Lepisosteus oculatus: one gene and its partners. The protein of the gene in region 2 interacts with the protein of the main gene of each other region in a pairwise test. Links are inferred from orthologs where the notes say so. Each region holds a gene or a part of one and is shown on either strand. Other genes may lie near its edges.

Region 1 (7,456 bases), on a different chromosome or scaffold from region 2:
CTGGCTAACATCCTATTATCCTGCATTACAAAATGTTCTAAGTCCTCATCAAACCCATTTGGGAAAGGCAGAGAGGAGTCTGTCCAGAGACTCTCTTCTGATTGGATTAGCAAAACAATGTTTGTCCTAAGCTTCCAATTTACACTGAGTGCCTGTCCAGCTCACAAGGTGCAATGCGCAGCGCAGTCAGCTGGCACATCTCATTAATGTTCTGCCTTTGAACTTCAGGCCCAAATGTTTAGAAGATTCCAGTGTTGTGCCAAATCATACTCATGCACTCCAGAATGCTGCAGAATCTCGGGGAACACAACGTGTTCCTGGTGGACGTAAAATACTCAGACACATTTAATTTTTAGATCATCAACAGGTGCCCCAACACACAGTTCTTCTATCTTAACTATTATATCTTTCCCTTATTGGAATGGACAACTAAAAACATTGTTATGAGTCACCCACGGCAGTAACCTACGCAATTTGGTCTTGAATTTTTATGATCCCACTAATAAAATGCACATAAAGAGGTACATCACCTGAACCCAGATTAAAAACAGCCTCTGTTTTCCCCTTCATTGTATTTTATATTCTATCAACTCTCTACATAAGAAAACGCAATAATGCCAAAATTTGTCATGTGCTTTTAATGAATACAAACCTAACAAAAAAAGGCCTGAAAAACTAATACTATGGATACTTAATAACTGTTGGGCTAATTCATGACACTTACAGGTTAAGGTTTTGATTAAATAAACCTTAGAATCTTTAGAAAACTGTTTACTATACAGAATTTCTCTATCATCCATTTATCTCAGGGAAAAGGAACATTTTAGATGACCTTATACATGCTAGAATACACAGCTAAACATCAGCAAATATTTCAAGCAGTAAATTTTGCACAGATGAGAGAAAGCCAATAAACAACCTGATATCGTGTGAAAGTAAAAAACAAAGCATTCTATTGGCAGAATAGAACAGAAAAACAAACATGCTCCTTCTGACACTAATGAGAAAAACCATTGTTTCTCAAAGGATTATCCAGCAAATCTGCATAATGACGTTGGCACAGCGGGTACCAAAATGATCGGGGTGTGTGTTTTATTTTTTTTAAAGAGGATGTGTGCTGTCACTGGCCATCTGGAGAGGCATCTCTGTCAACCAGTCACAGACTTTGACAATGAGCTTTTCACTTGCCATATCAGCTTTATTATTGCTTAAGCCATGATAAAATAATAGAAAGCAAAATAACCTCACTATGAGACTGAAAATAAAGAGAAACATAAAAAGGGAAGAATGTTTACCAATAACAGGATGCCTTTCAGCTCACTCTCCTCATTGGGTTGATAGTAGGTATCTTCAACAGTTTAACACAGGCAGTGACACAGGAATGAGTAAAGTGCTCTTAAAAGAATATCCATGCTGAAGACATAGTTATTATGAAGTGTTATTATGATTTTAAGAATCAATCTTAACCTAACCCTGTGTCTTTCCAACCTATGGTAACATATGCATCTATGATGGAAAATAAATATTTGAGAAGAGTTGTACTGAAAAAAAAATGTTTTCACTAGCTTTGTAAAGTTTATAGAGTTGAGATTTCCACTTGAAGTACACTTCAAGTGTACATCAATAATGTGTGCTTGACAGGTGGTCACATGAAACTACAGGGCTGTGAATCACACCGAACTGCATGGTACCAGGAGTGCATGCCTAAAATTAACACAGCTGTCATTTCCCTCTTCATTACACTCACGAAGAATCAAGGACGTAATCACAGCACATCAACATCCTACAGACTGCTAGTCTCTAAAACAGAGGGTGGTCTACCTTGGCTCTTCAATTCCACTGCATTGCGAGTCTATCCTAAAGACAATCCTACTGTATTATCTGAGTGCTCTTCAGCATCAGGATTAATTAAGCAATTAAGAATCAATTCAGTAATGAATTCATTGGGAGGCTCAAAATGAAACCAAGAGCCAAGGCTGGCCACCCCTGCTCTACACTTACTAACACACACAGAACCACCTTCGCCAGCACATTCAGAAACTGCTCTAACAGCCACATACCTAGCAGTACACCAGGAACAGAACCAATCATCTTTGCTTAGTAACCAAAGCTGCAAACGGACATTAAATACATGTCAGAACGTTAAATCCTTCTGCGTCGTATGTATTTCCACAAAACCGCGCATCTATGCGAATACATCATAACGTTATCATCCGACATGGAGCATGGCTTTAGCCAGATGTTTGTTGCTTTGTGACTGCGCACAGCAGGTGGATGAGGTTATCCTTCAGCTAATGAAGTGCGGCTTTTAAAAAGTTATTAAAGTTCTCTGGTGCTCATAAACAATTTCGAGATGGAACTTTACGTCAGCCTGTGCGCTGTCAAAATACCTTAACGTGGTTTCGGAGACAGAAGGATCTGTACACTAAACTCGGCTGCTCTGTTATGCCGGTCTTTTCCAGTATCGGTCCAAGTGATTGCGACAGAGAGAGAAGAGAAAAAAGGCTGCAGCCAGCGCGCAGAACATTTTCGCCCTCGTAGTCCGCTAGTCGGCTGTACCCCGCTAGTCTCGACTCACCCTCCGGTCTCAGCTCCCGAGTCCACACAATCATCCTCGGTGGAGTTCTTCTCTATCTCGGAGCACCAAGACATGATTTCACTCGCGCTCTTCCCTTCAGCCTGACGCGTGCCGAGATGTCCTTTTGGAGTTTAAAAAAAGAAGAAGAAGAAGTTTTCCGTCCCGAAGCTGACAGGAGCAGGATCTCGGAGCTTAGCCCTCTCCCGGCAGCTCAACAGGCTGCGCTTCGGCTGGGGTGCGCTGCGTCACTGCGGAGAGGCGACGCCTCTGTCACGCACAGCCGGCTGCTGCCTTCAGAAGCAGCGCCGACCTTGAACAAGCGAGGCTGCACGGTCGCCTCGTCTGAACAAATTGCACATATCGCCTCCGCCTTCTTGAAAGCTCCGTTTTGGTCTTTACGCATCGTATCGTGTATCCGTGGAGCGGGAGGGTTCATGCCCTGCCTAAGCTATCAACAGATTTGAGCTAGGGGATGCACTGATATTAGGAGAAACGGGGGAAAAAAATCATTGTGATTGTTTTTGATTACGAAGGTCCCTGGGAGCTATACTGTAGAGTTTGTTGGTATTTTATTTTCAAAAAACTTCTAAACTACTTAATAGTGCAAATAATTAGTATCCAAGTATCACAGTATCACAGTCTGCGTAAAGTACATTTTCCAAGTGCCAATAAAATGCCTTCCTGTAGCTGAACATGTTGTTTTTGTAAACCTTTATTAATTAGTAAAAAAAAAAACTTTCAAATAAATGCTGTTCCCGCATTCATGAACCATCATCTTTATTTACAAAGGTATTCACTCCAGGTATTTAGCATGGAATCGCCTTACAGATGTAAAGCTGTAATCCACTGTCCCAGCAGTGTGAAACAGTTGATAACAGGATTCGTCCTGTTGTGCGTGAGAATGTAAACGTCTGTAAATGAGAGAGAGTCTTTTGGACCAACTGGAACAGTTGACCTTCAGATGTTAATTGATCAGAGGATCTCAGCACGCCTATTCTTGAAAGAAGTAAGAGTATCAAATCCAACAACAGGACTCAGTAGCTAGATCCTGAGCTGGAAAAGTTTCCGTTCTTTAATCTTGCCGGTGTAGGACAGTCCTTTGAGCTCATGGACCATGTACCTGGTTACTCTCCTGTGATCTGATTGTAATGCACCAGTAACTTTCTCTGTATCCTGGAGACCAGAGCTGATCAAAATATTCTAAATGCGGTCATGTACTAAAACAGTGTCATACAATACTTGATAAATTTGGAATAGAGTGTTATGTTACAAGTAAAAATGACTTAAAAACATACAGTAGTTACATATTGCTTTGCCAGATTCTTTGTTATGCTGTCGTTCATATAATTAGTTTGAAATGGAAATGTCTTTAATGTTGTCTCTTACTTTAGAAGGAATGGAAATTGGCGACTGTTTATCTCCATTCATTCTGACAGTGTTTTCTGAATATCATATCTTTTTTTAACATTTTATTTTTTTAATCCTCTGTTTGGCATGAACTCTTCCCAAATCTGGTATGACTCCTGAAGTAATCGGTTTCATATTGTTTATCCTCTTTAATCCTGTCCTTATTTCTTAATCTTAGTTATCATCTCCTCTACTTGTTCAAAACCCACACACAAAATACTTCGCAGTCCAGGAACATGAATGTTTGTGGATTCATAACGATTTTTGAAGTTAACAACATTTATAATTCTAACGTAGAATTTTATATTTAACTTTCTTGTTTATTATTCTTAAGGAAATTAAAGGGAGATAAAAATAATAATAATAATCAAGAATATTACACAGCTCACATTGGAAACCCACCAGCGATGACTGTCCATCATTCAGAAAAGTAATTTTAAAAAATAGACTTCAGTCCCCATATTAATACGCACGAACGCCTCTTTTGTTGAGACGTTTGATTGCTGAACCCATCCAGACATTTCAGATTTGAAAAGTGCGCGCTTACACAGTTTGCCATGTTTTTTAAGTGTTTGTGGTGCAGAAATGTGAACTCACCTGAACATGTACAGTACAGTAGCTACTGTCTGACTCCTGTGAGGCTAATGAGTCTGTTCTATGGGGATTTTTCACTGGTGTTGCTAGGCAGGAGTCTGATTGGTAAATACCATGCACTTACTTGTGATTCGGCTGCCATCTTCTGGTTATCCTAGGTACTTGTACTAATCCTAATGCATTTAAGATTCCCGTTCTATTTGTTAATTTAAAATCTATTAACATCACGTTGCTCACTGAGCGCAGGCAAGGGCGATGATTTGGAAGTAACTGTTTTTCCAAGACAACAGTCAGTGCAGGACGTTTATGGTAAATTCGTCCCTCTGCGCATGAACGACAATGTGAATGTTCCCGTATCTTTGGCGGACACGTGTAAAGCCAGTTTCTGCCTCCTTGCTCTGCTGTCCAGAGTCCGCACTTCCAAGGCCATCGAGCATCAGGGATGGGATATTACAAAGGCCTGGATTAAATTTTAAACTTAAACCCACCCGTTAATCACCAATTTAAAGAATTAAAATCCCCGTTCAGGATGCAGAAGCAAGAGGCTTCTGGAAAATCTTTTTCCCCCCCTTTAGTTAGTGCATAATTTACAAATAGTGGGGGGGTTAACTGAAGCGTGGGTGTGAAGTGGAGCTCAGCCCCATTGCCTCTCGAAGTTCTGCGTACGTTTCTCCTAGAGATGAATGAGTCTCCTCACACAAACGCAACTCATATTTCTAGCTGATTCCACTGTGTCTGGAGTCCCGGACAGAGAAGACAGTGAGGGGACCAGACGCGAGTTTTCCAACTCCTCCAAAGGCAATGTCAGAGCCAAATGAACAATGAAATATCAAACCTGAGGACACAGGTGGGAACTGCGTGGGAGTGCATTTCATTTAAACCCGAGAACGGGAGGCATTTCTTTAGCCAAAGGGTTGTGGGAATGTGGAACAAGCTACCCCGCCACGCTGTTGAAACCAACACCCTGGTGTCTTTCAAGAGACGGCTGGGTGCGTTCCTTGGATTAAAGGTCTGTATCCTTTGTGTCGTTCTGGTATTTCATTTAGGGCTAAAGCAGTCTTGTGCAACCCTGCTCTGGGAAACACACCTTTGTCACCACAAATACAGACAAATACACCTTTGTCACTACAAACACAGACAGCCACCACTGCCCTAACCCCAGCGTGTGATGAGGACCCTCTGTATTTGTACATTACTTTCATACATTCATTATTTTTTTGCCATTTGTATTTTATATAGAAGAGTTATTCTAGCAGGCCAATCCAAAACTAGAGTTAGTGTGTTGCATTCTGTCATAAGGCTCTGGTGAACTGATTGCTTTTTACTACTTTAGAACATAAAACAAGTTACTGTATTTGTGATAGAAAATGTCTAATTCAAGATCATACTGCACAATTAAGTGCTATAATCAGAAGCCATGATTAGACGCGTCTTCAATCACTAGACAAGCATCAGCAGCTGGCCTATTTAAATGATTTGGTTAATTTAAAAAAAAGTCCAGACAGACAACCATAGGCTGAACAAGCTCATCAGGAGAGCAAGCTCTGTCATTGGGTCTGACCTGGACCCCTTGGAGGTAGTGGCTGAGAGGAGAACGATGTCCAAACTAGAGGCCATCATGGACAACTTCTCCCATCCCCTCTATGACAGGCTTGCAGGAATGAAGAGCACGTTCAGCAATAGACTGATTCATCCACGGTGCGACAGGGAGCGCTACAGGAGGTCATTCTTGCCGTCTGCCATAAGACTGTACAACGCATCCACCTTGCGTCTGGGCAGAGGCAACATCGACAGTGACCTGTTTCTGGACTAAACGCATATACACATCTACTGCTTCATCTGTTCTCTTTCTTTTTCTTTTTCCCGTTTACAACCATTTTTTGTGCAATATATGCCAGGGACCTGTGCAATACATTTCTATTTATATCTATATTTACATCTATATTTATATTCATATGTGTGATACGATTTTCTGTGTACTGTTCTGTTCTAGTTTGTTCTTGTGTGTCCGGACTTTGAGTAACTCTTGTATTGTATTGTATGTATTGTACTATTATTAAATAATTCGTTACACTGTGGCTGTGTTGTGTGTGTTAAGCTGCTGTTGCACTGCAATTTCCCTCACGGGATCAATAAAGTATCTATCTATCATGCCAAAAATTTAAAGGGCATGGCAAACATTAATTGAAAACCTCTCTTCTTGACTGAACATAAATATAATACTGGCGCTGTGTTCTGAAGCTTTCATTGTCAGGTTTCCTTTCTTATTTTAAGATTGAAGTCAAGCTCAGGCTATTTGGACATTTCTGTACACTGTCGAATTAGATTTTTTAAGCAACCTAATTTCACCACTGGTCTTCCGACGTCCGTGTCATTCTGCAAACCAACAAGTTTCCTTTTTATCGCGTGCATACAGTAAGTGTATTTAACAAACTCGAAATTGGAGGAGGGTTTTAGATCGTAAAGTCAGTGGTTTTTGTATTCTACAAAAATATTGCCTCATATAGCTCCTCCTAATTTCCCACACGTCCTGACTTAATGCGATGTTGTTGTCAGTGAACCCTACACCTTTATACGGCGGCAAACATTTCCTAAGGAAGACATACTTTATCTTGAGTCATAAAGTACGCCCTATCACGAGATGAGAGCTGTGCCGATTAGGGACACGCACCTTTTTTTTTTTGACGTATTTTACTATACTAGTGGTATGCAAATCATTTCCATAGTACGTGTTTTGAGAAGGGTATTCACCTTACAATGCTTAACTTGGGATGTCTGTATGGGACGTTCTTAACAAGCCTCTGATACGTGTAGTTGTAAAGTCCTTTGGTAGATACCATTGTATCTTTATTGATAATTCTGTTTTTCCTTTGTTCC
Region 2 (7,840 bases):
TCACTTTCAGAGCAGGTTCAAGTGGGGCCGTTTCTCTACCTGGGGAGTTGGAGGCTGAGGAAGCGCAGGCTCCGTGGGCTGAGGCGGGGTGTTTTCGGGGGACGGGGACTGGGAGGGCCCGAGGGTTAATGGAGGCACCTGGAGAGTCGAGGGACCCGGTGAAGGCGCCCCGCCCTTGTCCTCCTCCTGGATGGAGGGCATGCGGGAGGCACTGGCCCGGCCCTCGGGCAGCGGCCTGGACTCGTGAAAGGAGACGGCGTAGGCCAGCCGCCCGCAGTGCATGGCCAGGTAGTCGGTGTGGACGCGCAGCAGGGCCATGATGCCGCTGTACTGGTACAGCTCCTCGTCCCGGCGGGCGTACAGGTTGCTGCGGGGCGCGTTGGTGCGCGGGTAGATGGCGAAGAAAGCTTCGCCGGATTTGGTGCCATTGCTCGGCTGCAAGCCTGTGAGCCGCAAGGCCTCGACCTTCAGCCTGACGTCGTGGTTTTTATCATTCTTGCAGAAACCTGGAAATGTACAAGGAAGAACCAACACAAACTGGAATTCCAATTCCAAATTCCCGAATTAAAGCAAGCATCCGACAAAATCATCAGGATCCACATCTTTTGCATCTGTTTGGTCAGGATGAGGAGTCAACGGAGCCCGTTAATGGTCTGTGAATCTAGTTTCTGTGTCTCACTTTCTCAAGTTCGAGGCTTGGAGCTATTCATAAACCATGAAGCAATAGTCAGATGTGAATTTTTTAAGCTAAAAGGGAACCATTTTAAAATATTTATTGCGATAATCATATTTCTTTTTCTTTACATAAGACCCGCATTAAACCATGACAAGATCAAATTTGGAGACGACAGCAAAAAAAAAAATTAAACTGCAAAAAATCTCTGAACGCAATTTTCTTCTGGCAAGAAACACCTTTTTACACCAGACGATTGATCTTAAAAATGTTGCCATTACAAAAATGAAGATTTCAGAGGACAATAAAAAAATAATATTATCACATTTCCCTATATTTTAACTATTACCAATTAACCATTTAACTTTCCAAATATCCCCAATATGATATTTCTAAATCTTTTCTCAAATTTATTTTTGGGTAACTCATGTTCAAATTCAAACAACGTTTCATACAGGGATACAGATTTGAAAAAATATTGAAAATTATTCTATTTTTAAAAAGCACTGCTCGTTAGTGAACATGTTCAGAGGTGTTCCATGTAATTACAGCCATTTCAGACAAGCGTGTTATATTAGAATTTCTTGAAACAGCAGTGACATGCATTAATTAACTTTTCGTTATAACACAGAGGAGCTCTCACCTCTCCTGTAAGGTGTGTGTGAGAGACAGAGGAACTTGTCAGTAGTGATATATTCTAGAGAAATGCAGCAAGATCTTACCAGCAGTTTTTTTTAATGGATTTAAGATGCATGGCTGAAATGATCAGGAATATCAATTCATAGCCAGATTTATTCAAAACAAACTGCAAACAACACTCCAGTAGAGATTCTGTACTTTTATCTGATATTTCATTCTTCTTAGGTTACAATTATCCATTTCTAAATCAGTCATACAGCAGATTGTCGGACATTTTGATTTTATTTTTTTCAGCCATAGCAATCAACTCACTGCCACTTAAGTTAAAACGTTTACATTTAGCAGTTTTAGGTCTTCAAAACCATTCATAAGCCTAGTGGCACCACACTGTTCTCTGCCTGTACACCTAGACACAAAGCCACAGCCTCAGCCAAAAAAAATATCCATATAACAACCAGGTTAATTTGGCGCTGAAAAGTAGAAAGACGACTCTCGCATTCAAGCCTATTCATCCATTTAAGATACTCACATTACTTGGCTAAAAAAAAGGACTCTTTGACACTATAGCAGGGGTGTAGTGGATCCAACTCTGGTCATTAACAGCCCAAGTCCAGCAGGTTTTACAGAAAGGTTTCTTTAAAATCTCCATATTTTTAAGAATAGGAAAGAGGTCTCAGCTTGTCCATTTAACAATTTTTACCAATTAGGTAATTTTACCCATTAAGGTAATTAAGGTCATATTACATAATAAAAATTCAAAAAGGATCAGGGGACAATCAGTTAAGACATGGCTGCATACTGTACTTTCATGCACACAACGATGTAATAATCACCCTGGATTGAGGATGTGGATGCTTGCAGTACCTTTGGGCAGGGTGAAGAGAAACTTGTAGCGAAGGCAGGTGTAGATCTCATCCAGGCTGGCTTGCTCAATGACATCAGTGGTCCCAGTGCTGGTGTAGAGGACGTCACCATCATTGACCCTCAGCTGCACGCCAGTCCCACAGTCCTCCAGCAGGGGGTTCTCCACGGTCAGCCTCAGCACGTAACTGCCAAGCTCGTTGAACTGAACATTCACCACCTCAAACTCAAAGTCCAGCTCCTTCTCCTCGATCTTGAGACGACTTCTCTGCATCGCTGCCCGTCCAGGGGTGGACTTGTGGGCAGTAACAAAAATCTACAAAAAAGGCATGTGCTTTTTTACTTTTTGTCCCATGAGAAAGATTAAAATGATATGGTATTCACAGCACAATTTCAGATAGTAACTGTACCAGTTGCCAACAGCTGTACTTTATAAATTAGTTTGGCAAAATGGATCTTGTCCACACTGGTATCTGAAGGCAAAAGCAATCACTGTGAAGGATACACAACAGTAAAAGACGTGATCATTTCTGACAACGGCCATTATAATACATTCCAGTAATATATAATAGAAACAAGTAGACAAAAAAATGAAAAGATTGATTTTGAGAGGAGAAAACAAGCTGAAATTATACAATGCACGCCCCGGTTACCAGGCTAAACAATCATCCAGGACTTCATTCTACTTCTAGAAATACACAAACACCAGACATCAGAGAATCTCACCTTTCTGTCGGTTCTGAAACTGGAACAAAAGGTTGGCGTAAAAGGGGGAGATTGTGAGATCGGCTGCAGGTCAGGTTTTGAAAGTTTTCACCTGGACATTTGTTATGCTTGCAGCTAAGGAAGCCAGCACTAAGCCAATCCCACTGTGTCTTGGAAGCAAACAATGCAGGTGATTTGAATGAAGCTGTTTCCTTTCAACAAACCTCAGTGATACACAATGTGTCGTGTCTACTTCCACTGTGAACAAAGGCCAATGCACAGTATATGATCCATCAGTTTTCACATTGTATTTACATCTTACAGTTAGGGGAAAAATGCCAATGACATTCAAAAGGGGAGACTGTGAGACCGATTGGAGTCAAAGTTTTTTTAGTTTTCACCTTTGCATTTCTTAATCAGCTACAGCCTTCTACAGTACATTTAAGGTTTCAAACGCCAGAGTTTCTAGGTTACAGCGGTGTACATGTATAGTGTAGGTTTACCTTACAAAAATTAATATAAACTGAAACATAAGAGAGGTTTCAAAGGAGGCCTACACAGCCCATTTGGTTGGTAGTAGCTAATTAAAAGTATTACATATCGATCAAACACTAACCTATTGTGCTTTTAGAGTATCAGTTCCTTTGTGACTGATAAAAGCCACACCTTTTTTTTTTGACTTGATGTATATTCATCAGGTGTCAGTGAAGTAACCTTATTTAATTAATCCGGTTATTTAGCGCTATTGTGTGCTCACAGCGACAGTGGACATAGTTTAAAGTTTCACCTGAGATTGCATCATGTGCGCTGACAATGTGACTTGAAGATCACTAGCAAACAAGTTTCTGACCTATGAACTACATGCTGGGAGCTTCGTATGTGGACTTTATTACTTTTTTTCGTCCAAACTCGTTTGTATTATGGAAGGTTAATTTGAAATTATAAAGTGCTTCTTTAGAAACTATTGTCTGCGCAAAAACAAATGACCGGTAAGCGGGGAATGACAGGTAAAGACTTTGCTATTTTAAAGTAACTAATTTGTGATTTAAATAAATCGCATACCCTTCCTTTTACCTGAAACTGCACGCATGTGTTTGGGAAGCACACAGCATTTCTGAATGTGCCGAGTAAACAGAATAGGTGTTGATAGCGAGTGAATTATTACGTGATCAATGATTAGTCTACACGAAATTGTTTATCCACGTGTTCACCGTTAAATTAGTTTCATGTAAAAAAGACATGTTTATCATTCAGATTAATTTTCTAATTTTTCTTAACGATATTGATTTTATACAGTATGTTTATAGTCTAAATGTGGGTGAATTTTTCCATTAAAACACTTTTTAATACCAACAATCTTAAAGAGAATGTTAATTCTAGCTAAAATTACTATACAACAATAACTGTACTTAACTATTTACATTTGATTGTTTTATATTCTTACATAATTAAGCTTGGGTTCAGTGCAAGCCGATGATTATCAAGTTGCTTATTGAGTAAAGAGTGTTCCAAATTACCTGGCCAACTAAATCTTTAGAAGCAGCCGTCTGATTTTTTTAACTTCTCCAGATTTTATAGCCAATAAAGAGACTAACGAGAACGAAATCCATGACAAGGGGGGTTAACAAACATGGTTTATATAAAATTCTCATTCAAATTAAAATTATTAAACCACCCTTAATAGAATTCGTTTTATGTGTTAATATCATTTCTGTGATTTAATGCCGAGATTACTAGAATTAGTTAAGCGAGTTAGACGTGTTGTTGTTTTTTTGTAACTGACATGTATTCAAGTGTAATTTAAGGATATGTTATGAATAATTACTTTAGTAACATAGCCCTTTGTATTATTACTTTAGCTCATCCGGTAGTCTTTGAAAACAACACACGCACAATGCAGTCGATAGTTTCGTCAACACAGAGCATACAGTACTACCCGAACCGAACAGACATTGTCTTGGCAGAAAGCTTAAAATTGTGATTTTGTGTTAAATATCACAACGACTTCGGTTCTGTGTGGTGTTAAAACGCTATGGATTCGATAGCGAATGTTGTTAGAACAGGTATTAAATGTCATTCGTAATGTCGTGTTCTTGAGAGAATTATGTACCACTGAAACTTAAAACGGGAAAACCGTAGCCAAGTTTCGTGCCACCCTCTTTCACACAACTCCCAGAAAGATACGGCTTCTGGCAGCAACTGTAACTACCCATCCGTTACAAACATGGGGACTGTAAGCTTGTGAATTGCTTATGAGCACATACTGTAGGTCACATAATAAGCATCCCTTTAATGAAAGCAAGATTGTCTCTGATGTGGTTTTCAAAGTCGGCTTCAGTCAAAGCTACCGCAGAGGTTTCAGAAAGTTTGAGAGCGGGGCGGGGTGAGGGAGAGTTCTCCATGCTCACCTGTGCAATGCTAAATCCGAGTGACGATTTTTCCCCTCTAGTTTTCAGACCATAAAAATAAAAAGGCCCATTGTTGGGATCTGCAGAAGATCAAACAGTAGACATCAGAGGCAGTAGCTCTGCTTACTGTCTGGTCTCTTTATTGAAAAAGTAATGTATATACATTCTGAATCAGGAGCACAACTGAAGTCCTTTGTTCTGTGGCTGAGGAACAGGATTTTTATTGCTGCATATTACAGTACATCAGAGGAGATGGTGATTTGGGGTTGTGCTTGCATGCTTTCTGCAAGGGGAAAGACGTTTGACTTTTGTAAATAACACCTAAATATGTAAGGCCTAATTTATGTGGTAAATGGAGAACTGTAAGATGGAAAAAGACGTATTTTACTGCCGGATGTTATCTATGGGAGTGAGTTTAAACCTGAAGCATACCATACTTGTTGGAATCTGTCACTATTCTATCTGGACAGACAATAGAGAAGCAGTCAGATTCTCAGCATAGGATTCACCACATGATTCCCTATGCCAGAGAAGTGTGCTGTTTTGTAAAGTTGCGCTTTTGTGTGTAAAATATCTTTTGGACCTCTACATATCTCTATAAACACTGGGTGTTTCATGTACACTAACACCCTTTTATGTAATGGTCACGTGTTTATCAAGAACTAATTTGCATTGAAAATAAATCTTTACAAATCTTTGAAGGTAGTGAGATAACGGAAACCTTTGATAGTGGATGGGTCTGTCATAATCAAAGTATAATATTCGTGTCATATCCATAGCTATCATATTCAAAGTATACCAGTAACCTAGACATTACAGTAGGTCATTTACAGTGACCATTTGAGTTTTGAAAAGTAATTATTTTTTTCCAATATTTAAGGCTGTTACCTACTGTATATTTTTTGTTAAGAAAATGGTATGTTAGATCCATGAATTGGAATACCACATCTGTTTTTTTTAAACTATTTGTAGAAACTGTAATCTATGTTCATTATTTATGTCATAATTTTCTTTGTTTTTACCTGTCTAGTATACAGTAAAAATATTTTATCTTAACTTTTTAAACAACTCTTAGGTGTGTCGTGGATGTCTGTAGTTTTTAGATTGCTAAATACATATTTGTTACCTGGTTGTTTTTCTCTGTTCTGTTTCTATCTAGTGTTCAAGAACTTAGATTTCAGAGTTCGGTGGTTGGCAGCATTTTACCAGCTGGTTATGTGGACAATATTATCATGGCAGAGAGATATTTATCTCTTTTTTTTTTAATTAAATGCTTTGCTTTGTCAATTGGATGTCTAGTTAAACAGCATGGGACCCGTTTTATTAATGGCCAATGTAACTGTTCCCTGGAGGAGCTGAATGATTAGGTTGGATATGAGGTCATTATGGGGAACATAAATCTTCCTGCATTCACAGCATTGGTGTCATTTTGATCAAAAGCTTTCCCTGCTGGAAAAAGGTTAGAGCAATAGAGAGAATCGCATTGCTGTTAAGCAAAGACATAGTGTACACCAGTGGCGAGTTGCGCTCCACAGTCGTTAAAACAAACTAATTTCTTTTGCATAAATTAAAGGAATTCAAAGTCTGTGCTGAGCTCAATTGTGTCCTGATTTGCTTGAGGTCATGTCTTTAAAAACCAAACGATTGGAAATGAAAAGTTTGTTATGGCCAGCTGGGATAGAATGGTTTTTGAAATTGGGAGAACTGCCTCCATCTTACTCACAATGCTATAAGAGTATTGATTATGTTGATTGAAAAATGACTTGTGACATAGAATAGACCCCTCCTAGACCCTACAGTATTTTGTTTACAGGCATAGCAGGATGAATTCATGGTCATGTGATCAGGGTGCCTGCTGGCACATACTGCTATGTCTTTATGGAAGCACTACACTTGGTCTTTAAAATTAAAAGCTTTTCAAATCTATTGTATAAAAATTGAAACAGGGCACTCGGCCTTCATGAATTAGAAGCATAATATTGGTTAAGGCAGATGCTGAAATCTGTAACCAAATTAGATATTGTTTATTTTTTAATTTAACTTGGCCATGCTGTTTATTTACTTATGTTTAGACAGTGCCTTTAAATTGTATTGATTCATTATGCTTTTCCAATATGCATCACATCCATGTACAAATAGCTACAGCTCAATATAACTGGCCAAGACAGTATATAGTGGTGTAATAAGTTATCTAAAAAACATTTTTTTATAGTAACTCCTTTTTTGCAAAGGGGTTATTGTTAATTTGGGTATGAACTTGTTGATGTTACTTTGGAGGAGTTTCCTAATGAAAGTGTGTTAAAAATTAATTGTTGTCCATAACCTTTGACCCTAATCCTTGTATAACATGAAATACAGGTCAGCCCCTGCGATTTAGACAGCACTACAGAATTTAACTCTCTCACCTCTGCTATAGGATAGAGTAGTTATCAACAATGCACAGAATTTATCCTGCATGCAAAATTAATTTATTGCCATCCTTTGCCTACTGCAGAAGCTCTGGATACTGAGGCTTAGATAAAAGTGTTGTTGGTGATGTCCAATTCAAAAGCAC
Region 3 (7,504 bases), on a different chromosome or scaffold from region 2:
ACAGAGTCGTCCTATCAGAGCTCAGCAGGATGGCGATGCGCAACAGGCAGGAAGTCGGAACAGCAAACAGCAGTGCCCCCTGCTAGTTCGGTCTTCGCTCACTTCCTGTTTATCCTGGTTCATCCAGTCAATTCCCTGGAAAGTGGATAGAAATAATGTCCTGGATCTGTCCTCTGCAGCTGAGCATTTCAGCGTCTCCCTGCTTCTTAATCCTTTCCCACATCTAGGTTAAACTCCAAGTAGCTAGAAGCGGGAAGGCTAAGGAATAACATATATATATATAATCTCATAGTTTCAAAATCCTGTTATAGAACTGATTCAACAATTAGAAAAAAATGTTGGGGTGGGTCCAGTTGTATGTCTGACATGGGCAGGGACTGGAACATTGTTGATATGTACCTGACTCTTACAGTTTGTTTTGAATAATTTTAATGTAACACAACCACAGCTTTTAGTATTTCTGTGGCAATAGAAGAACTAGTAGGGATATTGATATCATGTTCAGAATCCTCTTTACGTATGTCAGTAGGCCACTGTCTCTTTTTGCCTATTAACTGAAGGTGTTACCCTAAAAGGAACATTAATTCCTAGTTCAGAAATACCGAACAACTGAAAAGCATCGCTGACTCGGGTGTTGTAGACGAAATCTGAAATCAAGTCAATATACTTGCTCTCAGTGCCAAAAGAAAGGGGAAGGAAGGACAACAAGTGTTGAATCATTTACTTTGAGTCAGGTACTGTAGTTCTGTTTCCAGGGTGATACAGACAAGCTGTGTCAGCAACAACCGTTGTGGACAGATTTGTTTGGTCAATTCTGCAATAGGCCTTTCGGCTCTCCATTACCATGCAATCTCAGCTGTGTCTTCTAACGGAATTGCTCAATCTGTTTTTAATTCACCCATATTTTTATTCATTTTCTGTTTACATATTATGCATCAGGTCAATTATCGGGATAATTGTAAGGGGGGAAAGCTTGTGGAATATAATTATACAATGATACCTGTTACAGACATATACACAGATTTGTCCTGCTGGAATTGTACACGTTGTTTAAAGTTTGGCTCCAGCATGGAACCGACATGGTAATTGAGATTGTTCGGAAATCATAACTAAAGGCATCTGTAGGTAATAGTAAACTCTTTCATTCCTGTACTGACAGGGTTTATAACTGGTCAATCACAAAAATGGTCAAGAAAATCTCCTTTGTGTTGAAAACGGACACTTCCGTTACTCACTTACTCAAAATTACTCAAAAGTCTTGTTGGCAAGTAACACACAATGCACACGGAAACAACTATAAAAGGGTAGGAACTGCTCGATTAAAAATCTTTTAAAATTGTTAACAAGTCACAGGTGTTCAATGAGTGAGAGCATATACAATAGGTTAAGGCATTTTGAAACAATAGCATTTGCTCTCTAAGTTGAAGTAATTAATGAAGAATATTGTTTTCTCACTCATTTATTATTACTGCCATTTTTATACAGACTCTGTAGAGACTGACAAACACCAGGTCTCCATTTGGGCTAAAACTTGGACACAGAATTGGCATTATTCACATGTACTGAGCCTAAGAAGAAATGTATTACATAACAATGCAAAGAATGAGGGAAATGACAGTGGTCTTTTTTGTGGCAGGTGCTTTGACAGTTTCATTCATTATTCTGATCAACATTTGTCATCTGCAGGGTTGATCACAACTGATCACCAGGGGGTTTGCTGTGGAAGTCACAGGCTAGTAGTGTGTGTGGCCAAGTCTGGAAGCTGTAGGTCTGCCATGCATTCTTTACACCAGGTTGTAGATATTGTTTTGTGGGTTTCTGACCTATTCTCCTCATGGAGCTTGCTCAAGCATGTGTCTGTTTGCTGGCTTCTGAGTCCTAGATACTGCATATCATACCAGCTGGGAAGTCTGGGAAGTCTGGCATTATTGTAACATTCTCGTCACACAACAAAGCTATTGATTACACAAGCAGCATGAGGCCGTGCACGATCCTGCTGGAATGTTATCACTTCAAGATGAGCTTGCAGGAAGAGCAGCAAGAGAAGTCTGGGCAGCTTAGAAATGGCTGAAACCCAGAAGGCAAGTGGCAGTGCTCAGCTTCAGCCCATATGCCAACTTACCAACGGCACAAAGGCATTGTTCTTTTCAATACTGGTTCCTTTCTGTCTTCTTATTTCTTAACTTACTTCATGTCCTTCATGTCCAATAGGTTAGGTTGTCTTATCAGCTCCCTCAACCCCGAGGTTATTATCTAACAGTCATCTGAGTCCGTCACAAGTGATCAGCTAATCACGATGACACCAAAAACATATAAAATATACCCCAAATCTGTACCTCATTTTTATTTAAAAAAACACATGCATCGAGTAATATTTTTCTTTTATAGTTTAGTATTTATAGTCAATCATGTTCATCATATTTTTCGATAATAAAATAAATAGAAACATATACAAGCAAATAAGTTTGAGCAAATACTGTACGCAGACAAACTGTTGTTGATATTACCACCACGCAGACCAGTTCCATAAGCAGAGATTTGTAACTTGCTTTTGTGAGGGACTGATAAAGGAACTCCTGTAAATAATAACTACACTAAATCTCTAGCTCACTGTGACAGATGGAGGAAATGAAATCTCCCTAGCAGAAGAAAAAGGGCAAGTGACCAAAAGTGACACTGACATCCTCCTCTCATTCACTCAGATGTAAATCATAGTAGCACCAGTCTGTGCAAAATGAATTTGAGTGATTGGCACCAGGTCATGTTTTTATGTGCTAGTTAGCCAAATAAAAAAAACCAGCAGTGTAACTCCAAGTGATGTCTTTCCAGCATCCAAATCTTTTAGGGAGCCCTGGTCCCTGCTCAGTATATCTCCTTCACAGAGCTCTGGGAGTTACAGTATCTCAGAGCCCAGTGTCTCTGCAGGCCCCTGGCCTCCTTAGAATCAGGCAGCAGAGCAGCCCTGGCAGCAGATAAGAGGAACGCTTTTAACAGCTGCAGCAGGGTGGGGTTCAGAATAACAAGTGCAGAGGGGGTTAACCCATTGTTCGTGTGCATTCTCCTGAGGGGAGAGTTCAAGCACACGCAGAGCCTCGTCTGCCTGCTTTAGCTAAATTTAGTTGACCATCTGGCCACCCTGTTTGTCCCATGGGTGAGTCTACCCTCAGAGAGCTGACGTTGAAATGCCTAGTTGGATGGATGGGGCCAGGAGAAACAGTGTTTTGTTGTGCAAAACGCTCTCTACAGTATTTTAAATACGGCCTCAACATCCTTTCTGTTAACTAGGGTATTAAACCTTAAAAAATGTTAAATTCACTTGTGCAACCTCCCCTTTACTATCAGAGCTATTACTAAATACTCATGAGGGAATTCTCGCAACGTAAAGGCAGTGAAAACATAGAAAAATATTGTTCCCAATATGTCTTTTCTTTTAAAACTATTAGACAACATAAAAGTTGTGGCCTAATAGTTGTTGAACTCTTCCTGAATCATGACTGGGGTGCAGCTGAGAAGTGATTTTTCTTTTTTTTTTAAATACGCCTTATTGCCTCCATAAGGGGAGAAGCATTTTAAACAATAATTGAATTGAACACCTGATGAAAATACGGGATTCAGATGCAGCCTCGTGTAAAACTGCAATTGCACACAGATTTTTAAGCCACCTCAAACAGCAAAAACACTAGTCCTTGTATTGCAGAATATCACCTTATTAGCTCTGAATATTGGCTCTGAAAGAGCTTAATTTCAGCACCCTCCTTCTGTGCTGTTCCCCATTTGAAAGCCCCCACGGTTATTTTGCAATTCTTTACTTTTAATGGGTTTAATTGCTGCCTTCGTCTACTCAGAACTCAGCGAGTCCCTTCTATGAACTTAACTACTTCTGCTCAGGAAGCACCCAGCAGGTGAACTTCGTTACATCTGAGAATGTACAGATTTTGTTAGAAAGGTTTACTTTTCATTTTCAAGAAGAATAAGGCAATGGAACAAGTGATTTTAAGATTACGAGCATCGCCTTTCCATTTCAATACAAGCCAACCATCCAGTGATAATCGGCTTCTTCAGTGAGAATCTCTGTATCTAGGTATCAGGGGAAAGGAGAATGAAAAATATTTTGTCCCACACTCTCTGACACACACAGACATATATGTGGTTTTTTTTTGTACATTGTGAAATAGACAATTAAAGAGTTTGCAGGTCTTGAGAGACAGAAAAATGTTATAATAAGTAGATGCTTATTATGTAGATGAAATAAGTGCTCGCGAGGAGGGGGTATCACCGTTTAGTGATGCGGTGCCTTTCACGACTTTACCCTCTTGGTAAAATGTCATTTTACGCCCCTTTAAGCCAAACCGTCTAGCTAAAAACAAGCTCTTTCCGCAGTGAAATAAAAAACCCTCACGACTCCGCAGACTCTCAACTGGGCAGCCCCGGGCTGTTTGCATTACGCTTTTTCACATCCCCAAATGAGCTGCCCCTGTCTCTTTAAAACACGTTTCCTTCGATTGTGAAGGAGTCGTGAGCAGGAAAGAGGAAACGAAACCAGAAACCAAGGGGCAGAGCTATGTAAAAATACCTACGGTACAGAGAGCTGCCGTACAAAAGCCGTCCCCGCGACTAACCGCAGATTAAGGGAGACGGTAAGGGATGACAGAGGGAATAAGAAATATTTTTAAGCAGCCATTGATATTCACTGCTATCTTCACTGTTAATGCTGAAGAATACTTGAGCCGTAAGCACAAGGACAACAGTATAGCAAATGGGATGTTATGATCTCCAGGAAATAATAATAATAATAATTACTAATATCGAAAATTGTAAATTATGTTTAAGGATCCCGTCTGCGGTCTTACATGTATGTTTTAATATATAAATTGTAGGAAGGAACTGTACAGCTCAAGTAAACGCGATTTCCACGGTCTTTGCCTTTGGTGCTGTTTTTTTTTTTTTAGAAAATAGAATAAGATGAACAGGTGCAGTTCTTGCCGAAAAATCATATTGTCATAAGAAATATGCGAGAGGAGTCGGAAGTGGGGATATAAAGCATACGTGCCGCCGGATTAAGGAGCAGGAGCCTCTATAAAAGCCGAAGTTCCCGACGCAGTAGTAAAAGGTGTTTGATGCCATCGTCATTGCCCGCAAGGAACATCTTGGAATGTCATCTGCTATTGAAAGGAAAAGCTTGGAGGCGTCAGAGTAAGTGCAATGGTGATGCCTTTGAAACTAATGACTTGCAGTGTTTCTTTTCACGCATGTGCACTTTTTGTTTTTAAGGAAAGAATTTACCCCAAAACAACATCCAAACTATCTGTCACTTTCATACCTGTGACCACCAGGGTTTTAGAGCTTTTTTTTCCCATTAATCCGAAATAATTTAAGACTGAACTTTATATATCTAACAAAGACAGAGGCCATGTTGAGTAAAATCTCTTGTGATCTTAAACATGCAACTCTAGATCTAAAAAGTAATTAGAATTTAGAAGCAATGTCACTTAAGATTAGTTTCACTTGTGGGATTGAGTCAGAGGCAAATAAAGCTTGATGTTTAAGTCTTCTTGGCAGTAATGAAATGACTGTGGCGATAGTTTCTTTTACAGTAGGCCTTGCATTCTGTGAACTGTTTGCTTTCGTAAGCCGAGTTTCAGAACCAGGCGCCAGATGTAATTAAACTATCACATTTTCAACAGGTATATGAATTGTAAATAGCCTTTTAAGAAAGGGGCAATGCAAAACAGCATAATGACGTAGATTAAAATGCACTGACAATTAGTTTGTGTAAAGAAATTACAAGAGCAGTGTTTCGATAATGTATACTAGGTGGTTTAAAAAAAAGACTATTGAGGTTTTCTGTTCTATTTGAGATGTAGATTTTCACTAGCTCTCTTATCACTACTGCGATCCCAGTGTCAGAAGACATTAATGTAATAATCACTACTAGCACTAGCTCATTCTTTAGTTAAGTACTCAGAATAGGATAATGCATATTAAGTGACAATACTCATTCAATCCTTACTAACAAAAGATGTGTAGAACCCATGCCCTTTGAGTTGATAGACAGCAATCTGTAAGTGTGCAAATTCAGGTAGTAAAGTTTGGGTTACTCCACATTTTTATGCATTAATTGTATTTTGTTTTGACTATATGATAACTTTTGATAAGTTTCTTTTAATAGATTCTAGGTAACACACCAATACAGAGATGTGCTGTACTGGGGAAATCTAAACCATGGAAGGCCAAATATATACCTCAGATAAAAAAGAATGTTACTTTTGCACTTTTATTGTATATCGTATACACAATACATTAGGTATATATTAAGTAAATAACTGTAGCTATTCTTTCTATTATTTAAACAAAGAAATGTCATAACCTAATAAATATACAGTACATCCTTGCTGCTTTTAAACAGATGATGCAGGAGCAAAATATATTTTAAGAAAAATGTGTGTGAAATGAGGGTCAATTGTATTCCCCACTCACCTCTTATTTTTACACAAAACCTTGTTTTTCCTTCTCCCTGTGCCCTGTGACAGATATATGGGCATACACTGCGCATATAGTGTTTTTTTATTTCGTGGGAAGCTGCTCCCTCTGTTGGGGAATGATGGTAATGCATAATCTACAGCAAATGTCACCAGAAAGGTCACCAGTGAGAGAGATGTGAGGAAATTATACTATTATAGAGTGCCTAGTAAAAATCAGTGTGAATATGATGAACACATGCTAGCTCCACAAAGGCAGGCAAGGTATTGAAGTCAGGATCATGGCTGCATCATCTGATTGGATCTGTAAAGTTCACAACAATGCCTGTATGCCATCATCTAACCTCAAATCGGCCTGCTTGCCAGACCTCTGGGTGACGACATTTTTTGACATGAAGAAAACTTCACAACATTTCAACATTCTGATACTCATAATGTTTAAAAATGCTTAGTTTCTAAAAGTCACTTCTTCAAGCGCAGTCAAAATTGTTTCAGTGTATATGTAGACTGTATATGTAGTTGCTAGCAGCCAAATCCTAGCAGCCAGCCTAGCGTACCTGATTTTCAGATTTCTGTTTCCAGGATTATTTTACAAAGAGTACTGATTACATGTACAAATTAAAGATTATTTTTTGAAACTATAGCACAATTACAATACCCCTTACACCCGTACTCATTTCAATAGTAGTGTGTTTTAGCGGCTGTGCAGATTCTTTGTCTGAAGATCCACCTTTTTGTCATTATATTTGCACATTTCTTTTGGCTTCTCAGCTAGCTTCCTCTGTTTGACAGCTAATTGAAAAAAAGTGTCCAAACTGGGAAGCAAACACAACCAAAACCTCCAGACGGGGGCACAAGAAACCACCTAGATGAATTGTTACCCAGGTGGTTTCTAAAAGGTTTTTCACCGCAGTGCAGTTGCTGTGTCTGTTTGCCCCCTGTTCTTGGCGATGTGTGTGGCAATCGGTTGCTGGCTCTCTTGCTCACGAACGGACCCTGCTCCCTCCTCAGAGAGCCAGTGGATG
Region 4 (7,867 bases), on a different chromosome or scaffold from region 2:
GAATCCTACACATTGGGGAAGTGAAAATGTTTATTTTTCAAATAAAAGTAGCACTTGAGGTGTCCTGGGTGAGCTCGGGGAGAGAAGAACTTTTGCAAACGTTTTGAGAACTCTGTGATGCAGTTCTGAACATTAATGAAAATTGATTAATAATAATTCTAGACTAATGAAGACTTTGCAGACACCATAAGCGCTTTAGCTGCATGGTGGAAAGCATTCTGCAAAGCACACGTGGAGAACTGGACTTTAGAAACAAACTTCTCAATAATGGAACTTCAGGACATTTGGAGGACAACTGCAGCTACGAACTCTTTTTACACACAAGAGCAGCCACCAGCCCATCGCATGCCAGAAGGACACAGTGTAATAAAGGCCACTGCTAAGCTCAGAAGTGACTTGGAAAACAACCACCATCATTAACAAAGGGGCCGCCAACAGTGCATCAACACCCTGAGTTTCCCCTTTAACTGAAATATTTGAAATATGTCGACTTCAGCTCTGCTTGGCCCCCTGAAGAAAAAGCAGGCAAACACACACACACACAAAATATGTGTGGTTTGGTTTGAAGCCGAGAAACAGAACCTGGATTTCCCCCTTGTTATTCTGAATTCTCAATGCAACTCTGTCGCCACCTTGAGGAATCAAGCCACATAGGCAAAAGTGAACAGTTTTTAAACAACTTTATACGGACCGGAACACACTGACTTAAACTAAGTAAAAACAGAAGTTTCTGTTAGTAGAAACTTAATAAGACAGAGAACAAATGTTTCTACTCACTGCTGTACACAGGTGACTATATAAAAGAAAAAAACAAGTTGCAAGGAAATACTTTTTTCAAACTACGGGGTGTGGTGACCCACAGTCTCTCAGAAGAAAAGCACACAAGGCAGGACTCCGCCCAGGGACGAGAAACAGCTTTTGTAAGAGTTTTATTCAGAGCATTCCAGCCTTTTGTATTCAGAGCTGGGGAGGCACCTTGTTCTTGCAGAACAGAAATAAGTTGAACAAAGTGACCAGGACGGGTGGCACATTTATCGGCGCATTCTTGGACTCAATAACATGTCTGACGGAGAGACATATTATAACTCTTGCACATAAAATTTTAGATGACCCCCTCACATCCACTCTTTTTAGAATAGACTCTCCTCCCGTCTGGGAGGAGGTACCAGGTCCTCTGTATAAAGACTAAGAGAGCATCTAATTCCTTTGTACCTGAAAGCACTGACATTTTGAAAATGGAAGAAACAGTTGAACTTGAACTTTATTGCCATATGTAACCTGTCCGTGTACTGGTACAATGGAATTCTTACTGACAGAAAGTCTCTCGACTGTTAAAACAAGTGTTAAAGTTGCAGGTAGGGATCTAATTATTATTGTTGTTGTTGTTTTCAGACTGTGTACATGCTAATCATCTGTTTATTAATCTTAAGGTTCTTGAAGAGTTCTGACTGAGAGATGTTGTTGAATGTTGTTTTGTATTATTGTGTGGTACTGTGGTTGCATTATTGTCATATATGTTGTATAACTATGGGCTCTTGACACGCATGACAAATTCCTTGCAAATTAATGTAAATGACAAATGTAAATTCCTTGAAAATAAAGGTTAATTCATAGCCTGTGTCTGGGAGAGGTGAGGAGCACTCACCCCAGTTTAGCAGCAAGCAAAGAACTGCCTGTACGACAGCGTCACAAAAGTAAAAATGGCAGCTGGCAAAGCCATGACGATGTAAAAGACGCAGGTGACCTCACATTGGCCCTTATCACAAAAACCCCCGCACTATGGGAGACAATGAACCTACTTCCTGTTGTGGCTGCCCTTTCTTCTCTAGAATGAAATGAATCATGTTTCTGAAGTACATGAGCTATAATCTAGGAAAAAGATCCAGCAATTTTACACACACACAAAATTGTTCTTCCAACCGCAAGACACAAAAATGAAAAAAGGTAAAAACCCCAAGGGTGCAGCAGGACCATGAAGGGGGCGGCCCTCACCTGTGGCGTGGTCTTGGTGAAGACGTCCCGGCCCCGGATGACATCGCTCATCACGCGGTCCTTCAGCTGCCTGTACTCCTCCTCGCTCAGCTGGATGGACTCCAGCCGGGCCCTGCAGCTCCGGCACACGCTGCTGGACATGGGTGGACGCAGGGAAAGCCAAGGGAATGCACTGGCACGAACCGCCCACTAACACCGAGCAGCCAGGCTTAAACGCGAGTCACCGAAAATACCTGGGAGCTCAGCTAACTTTCACCACTGGGGTTTGTGCCACAATGTCATAAAGATACTACACAATGCGTAGGCACTGCAGTATCAAAGTGTCTTTCTTACTAAGCACTCACAGTCTACACTATCTACACATTTTTTCCACTGGGTAGCCGTTAGAGTATCTTGAGTGGTTTTGAACACTGAGGTGCTTGAGAAAGATCTTACTGTCTGATCCCCTGGACTGACCAGAAGCAGCATGTTCTGACTACACGTGACACATGGAACCAGCCATGACTAGCCACGTTCACGGTGGGCCTCGTGACTTCATGCCGCTCATTGTAACCACCAGCTGGCAAGAACAGGGTGAGGTGCTACTGTATTTCCTGTCAAGGGAATGATGGTGAAGCCACACTTTCCAAACCACACTGAGGGCATTAGAGAGATATTCGCAGGTACAGACACTGAATAATAAGCTTCTACAACACCGCAGGCCTCTGGTAACACAAGCAGGGATGACTTCACCAGACACAATAAATGTGCACAATCCCTTACCTGGTCTCAACAGTGGCCCAACTTCCTTCCCACATGTTACCTGGGAGACTTAAAAGAAAAACGCTTTATGAGACTTTAAGCCTTAATTTCCTAACAAAGCAGCACCACGAAGCGAAACCTGCAACAGGCTGCTGGCTCAAGACACAACAGCAATGACTTAATTTGGACTCCATTAACAAATGAAGGTGGAACTGCAAGTTGAAGTTAATTTTCTATTATCAGACAGAGAGGTGGCGACCAGCACTGGCCTTTAAACATCCACAGTCTTGCAGGTTTCAATAACTTTACTTCATCATTGATGACAATGCTAAAATTATAATATTAACTTATTATAAAATCTAGCAGCCGTCTCTGATTCAGAGTATGACTTTTGACACAAACCTCCATTTTCTTACAACTGTGTCACTGAATCTTGTGTTTTTACCTAACAATATTTCTAACTAGAAGCTCACTCTTCATTCATATAATGTGTTTTAATGTCTCTGCCAACAAAGACGGTGAAAAAGGATGAATTTATTCAGAGCCACAGCTGTGGCCTACCTTTCAAACCAGGCCCTGATGCTCTTTGCCAGTGCCTCTCCAGGATAGATCTGGTTGTCTCTCATGTGAAGCAGGATGGACTGAAGTTTGCTTTCATTCCCTTGGCCTGAGAAGCCACTATCGAACAATGTCTGCCATGTTTCCTGGTTGGGACTAAGCCCCGTTCCAACCATTTCTTCATATAATTCCCAGGCAGTTGTGCTCTCGCCATGCTGGACAGCCCCCCAGATCGCATCGCCGTAGTTGCGAGGGCTGGGGGTGACGACTTTCTTCGTGCTTTCCAGCAGCAGGAGACACTCCCGCCAGCGCTCAGTCCTGCTGAAGCCTTTAATGAACAGGCTGTAGGCCCCAGTATCCAAGGTCTTGAACCTGTGCCTCATGATGTCATACAAGTCGAAGACCTCTGCTTGGTGGTTTCCATGGACACATAGAGTCAGGTACCTCAGAAGAAGTTCATAGCTCACAGTCCCCGTTTCCGTGGCTACGTACCCCAGAAGAGACTGCGCCACATCAATGGCGCTGCCTGCTGCCAGCATCTTCTCCATCATCTTCACCTCGAAGCGCTGAGGGGCCCCGGCACTCTCCTTCCGATTCTTCCACTCCGCTGCCGTGAGCGGGCGGCTAGGAATGTCATTTTCTTTCGGCCTCCTGGGCTCCTCTGGCCCCTCAGCAAGGTGTTTTCCCTCTTTTCGCTTAAGGAGCTCAGCTGTTCTCTTTGCTGTCCCCGCTTCAAACACTGAGCTGGGTGGCTTTTCCCTGCTGGGAAAGTCTTTCCATTTGGTGCCCGAGTTCCTGTAGCTCCCAGGGAACTTATTCCTCTCTCGTGTGGACGAGCAGCGCACACGAGGAGCACCTGTGTCCACAGGTGATCGCACACTCGGGTGCAGAAACACCAAAGGTCTCGAATGACTGAGGAGTGTGCAAATACTTCTAGCATTAGTCCTTGTGTAGGAAAAGAGTAGAGACCCCATCTTTAATCTTGGGAAAGTTACTTTGCGAATGCGTGGCTCAAGCCTACAAAAAACACCGCGGTCTACAGCTTTTGACAGGGAACAGGGCAAAGTGGCTTTATTACTTTATAACTGCACCAAGCCAGGAAAGTCAGAATCCGTGACTCTCATTTCTGGGTGTAAGAAGCAGACGCACTCCCCAGTCAGATTCAAGATCTTTAATAAAACAGGCGTTTGAAAACAGATCACTTAAGTGTTTGTGGTGATGCAGCAGCAGGTTACTCGAAAGCTTCAACACATCGAATCTTCTGATTTTAAGAGTTCAACAATGTCAAGCGACTGAATGCTATTTACGCTTCCCTAATGGTCCAGGAAGATCGCTGTTTCATCGATTAATCGCAAAAAAAAAGAGAGAGTAACTCACATTACTTTACAAGCCATCGTTTACTCAACCACTCTGTACGAAAAATGAAAACGTTAAACCAAAGCACACTTTCCGACACACGCTGGATGACGTCATAAACAAGTGACGCGCCCTCCTGGGGTGAAAGGTCGATATTGCCCCGCCCCTTCACGCCGTGTGAACCAATCAGAAACAACTACAGTGCTTTGGCAACAAATCGTAAATGAAAGCAGACGGGAACTTGTTCTGAGAGATTTCGAGTTGTTCTGCTTAGTTATAATTGATTTTAAAGTTTCAATGTCGAGAGATAAAGCAATAGAATGGAAAGAAATTCTAAAGAGGAGGTTGGCAACCTCAAAAAAAGGTGAGTGAATAAAGTGTGCCTTTGTTTGACCTTTTTAAACCATCACTGGGCGATATCTCTATGCCTTATAAATGGATTTTGTTTGACAATTTCATCAAACTGTATTTTAATGTTAAAGGAAGTTAGACAATCGCAATCGCAAAGTTAAAATTTACAGAAGTTATTTAGCTAATTAACATTATGTTGTCAATTACGGTATTTTTTACCGTTGTAAATGTTATGTTGTGTAAAATCTGTTCAAGGCCATTGGATAAAACTTAAAGTTGCTTCGATTATCGATTCATAAAGTTTTGCTTCTCCGTTGTCTCTCAACTCAAATTTGCATAGTAATTTTTGTTATTAATATGCAAGTTATATTCACAACGAGTCGTAGTGCACGACTGTGAAGCGCAGAAACATGACTGTGCAATTGAAACTATAACACGCCGATTGATGTTTATTAGGGTTTCTTCAGGATCCTGGAGATGAGTACGGCACTCTCTGTTCATTTAAAGGAGATTGTGAGGTTACAGTTCTTTGTTTAAGAAATGTGTACTACAAATATTTTAACTATTCGGACAAGCGTCTTTAAATACTTCAAGCCAACGTCAATCCATCCCCAATGTAAAAATTAAAATAAGCTTTCTGGCACTAGTTGTAATATTTCAGGTGAAAATACTGTAGCATTAAAACTTTTTTATTTTTCACATTTCGTCTCTTGTGTTTTCTGCCCAGATGAAATGACGGAGCAGGAGAAGAAAGACGAAGAGATGACGTTGTTCACTAAGCACTACACAGAGTGGGGCTGGGGCAGGCGGGATCGCTCCTATAGGAATATACCGCGCTTTTACTACCGGGTGAGTGCGAGGGCAGCAGGCCGGCTGCTTGCAGTCTGATGGACCTGTGAGAGCTCTGTAACCTCTGAGCTCTTTCCTTGTGTGTCGAGTATAACACTCGCTTGTGGTGCAAACTTCAGGCCATTACTTGTTTGATGATTTTTGAATATCTTAGCTATCCCAGCATCGCTGTTGCCTTCTCAGTTCTTTTAAAGTAAAGTAAAATTATATATATTTTTTAAGGACAAAGAACATTAGAAAAGGTTACAAATGAGAGGAACCTCTTGGGCTTTCTAGCCCTTTTGGTAGTTAATAGGGGTGTGACCCCTGTGTCCCTGCCAAATTTCCTCCCGGGCCTTTATCAGTCATGGCCTCCCAGTAATCCCCATCTCTGAACTGGCTTCATCCCTCTGCTCTCCTCCCCACTGAGAGCTGGTGTGTGGGGAGAGTACTGGATGATGCTCCAGTACTTTCCCCACTGAGAGCTGGTGTGTGGGGAGAGTACTGGATGATGCTCCAGTACTTTCCCCACTGAGAGCTGGTGTGTGGGGAGAGTACTGGAGCATCATCCAGGTGGGGCTGCACACTGGTGGGGATGGAGTGGATCCCCATGACCTGTAAAGAGTGTCCAGAAAAGTGCTCTGTAAGTGTAAGGAATTAATTATTAATAGTTTATTCATCCAAAAAAAACCTTCCAGCCATTTCTCGAAAGAAGCCATTGAGTATTAGCCTTGACAACAACCTTGATTTGTTAGTGTATTACAGACTCCCACAGCCCTTTGCATAAAGACATACCATGCCTCCTGTTCGCCGTTTTACAAGCGCAGGGGGGCAGTAATACTCAAGACCATATTTTTATGGTCTTGGTCTTGTCATGGACGTTTGCACTTGGCCTTGTCACGGTTTTGGACAAGGATGGGATTTCATTTTTTCCCGAGACCGGTTGAGACCAGTTAAAAAAACACAGAACACATGTACATCTGTTGTAGCCTATTATTTTGCTGCCTCTCAAAAACATATTTCTGCCACCAGATGAACATTATACGCATCCAATAATAACCAATGATTGTCCGTTGTCCGTGATCAAAGGCGCCAGTTTTTTTTAAGGATGTTGTCTATACAGTAGACTACACATCATTCTGCCGAAAATGTCATCTACATTGTCGATACTTCAGTTCGCATGTGAAGCACAAAGAGTTCGTCTGCAAAAGGACACTGGAAAAAAAAACATACTGCAGAGTGCAAAGTTTTCAATACCTCAATTTAATGAATTATTTTTGATATGTGAGCTGATTGCTAGTTTTGTTACTGTTTAGAATGTTTGTGCTAACACTTAACGTTTGGCACATTCATGATGATGGCATCATATAGCTATTTGCGAACTGGTCTTGAGTTAGACACACATTTATTTAGGTCTTGGTCTTGTCTTTGACTCACCCCCACTAATCTCTTCCCGGACCCGGTCTCGGGCCGGACTCGGACTAGGTGGTCTTGCCTACAACACTTCGGATATGCACTCGGTAAGAGATCTGCGTTTTAATCTGTTTCCTGCAGTTGCCAGCTGAAGACGAGGTTTTGCTGCAGAAATTACGAGAGGAATCCAGAGCTGTGTTTTTGCAGCGGAAAAGCAGGGAGCTTCTGGACAACGAGGAGCTGCAGGTAGTTAATAAAAGTGCACCTGTTCCTAGCTTATTACACGGTTTTCTGTATATTTGAAGTCATTTCTGTGTAATATGTCTTCTCGTGTGCTATTCCCAGAGCACTGCTGAGTTGAATAAAGTCACGAATTGCGAGTCTGTTCCTCCCTTGTTCTCCCAGAACCTGTGGTTTTTGCTGGACAAACACCAGACGCCGCCTTCGATAGGGGAGGAGGCCATGATCAACTACAACGGCTTCCTCAAAGTCGCTGAAAAGGCAGGAGCCAAGTGCAAGTAAGTGGGAACGGACAACAATGTAGCCTACTGTGTACGTGATCTGAAACCCTGATCTCATCATTTTTGCAAGAAACAGCAAATCTCCAATAGGTTTTATAAGTCTTATG

What was found.
Region 1: the proteins of ccdc33 (region 2) and protein FAM124A interact in a two-hybrid assay, tested with the Homo sapiens proteins (2 studies listed by BioGRID and IntAct). The two-hybrid records come from large-scale screens. The link is inferred for Lepisosteus oculatus from reciprocal best matches to the Homo sapiens genes CCDC33 and FAM124A.
Region 3: the proteins of ccdc33 (region 2) and lmo2 interact in a two-hybrid assay, tested with the Homo sapiens proteins (2 studies listed by BioGRID). The two-hybrid records come from large-scale screens. The link is inferred for Lepisosteus oculatus from reciprocal best matches to the Homo sapiens genes CCDC33 and LMO2.
Region 4: the proteins of ccdc33 (region 2) and ppp2r3c interact in a two-hybrid assay, tested with the Homo sapiens proteins (2 studies listed by BioGRID and IntAct). The two-hybrid records come from large-scale screens. The link is inferred for Lepisosteus oculatus from reciprocal best matches to the Homo sapiens genes CCDC33 and PPP2R3C.

The regions. Positions count from the first base shown.
Region 1 is NC_090710.1:30,451,540-30,458,995, reverse strand, and holds the start of protein FAM124A, read right to left. Parts: upstream 3,003-7,456; 5' UTR 2,653-3,002; coding exon 2,579-2,652; intron 2,561-2,578; exon of another isoform or gene 2,061-2,560; intron 1-2,060.
Region 2 is NC_090700.1:59,238,791-59,246,630, reverse strand, and holds the start of ccdc33 (coiled-coil domain-containing protein 33), read right to left. Parts: upstream 3,001-7,840; 5' UTR 2,900-3,000; intron 2,490-2,899; 5' UTR 2,448-2,489; coding exon 2,177-2,447; intron 507-2,176; coding exon 40-506; intron 1-39.
Region 3 is NC_090716.1:11,136,478-11,143,981, forward strand, and holds the start of lmo2 (rhombotin-2), read left to right. Parts: upstream 1-4,492; 5' UTR 4,493-4,637; exon of another isoform or gene 4,638-4,949; 5' UTR 4,950-5,152; coding exon 5,153-5,193; intron 5,194-7,490; coding exon 7,491-7,504. UniProt on the Homo sapiens protein: Acts with TAL1/SCL to regulate red blood cell development. Also acts with LDB1 to maintain erythroid precursors in an immature state.
Region 4 is NC_090703.1:3,321,338-3,329,204, forward strand, and holds the start of ppp2r3c (serine/threonine-protein phosphatase 2A regulatory subunit B'' subunit gamma), read left to right. Parts: upstream 1-4,854; 5' UTR 4,855-4,944; coding exon 4,945-5,011; intron 5,012-5,725; coding exon 5,726-5,847; intron 5,848-7,380; coding exon 7,381-7,485; intron 7,486-7,644; coding exon 7,645-7,757; intron 7,758-7,867. Other genes in the region: prorp (mitochondrial ribonuclease P catalytic subunit), read right to left, coding at 1,993-2,125, 2,755-2,802, 3,295-4,265. UniProt on the Homo sapiens protein: May regulate MCM3AP phosphorylation through phosphatase recruitment. May act as a negative regulator of ABCB1 expression and function through the dephosphorylation of ABCB1 by TFPI2/PPP2R3C complex.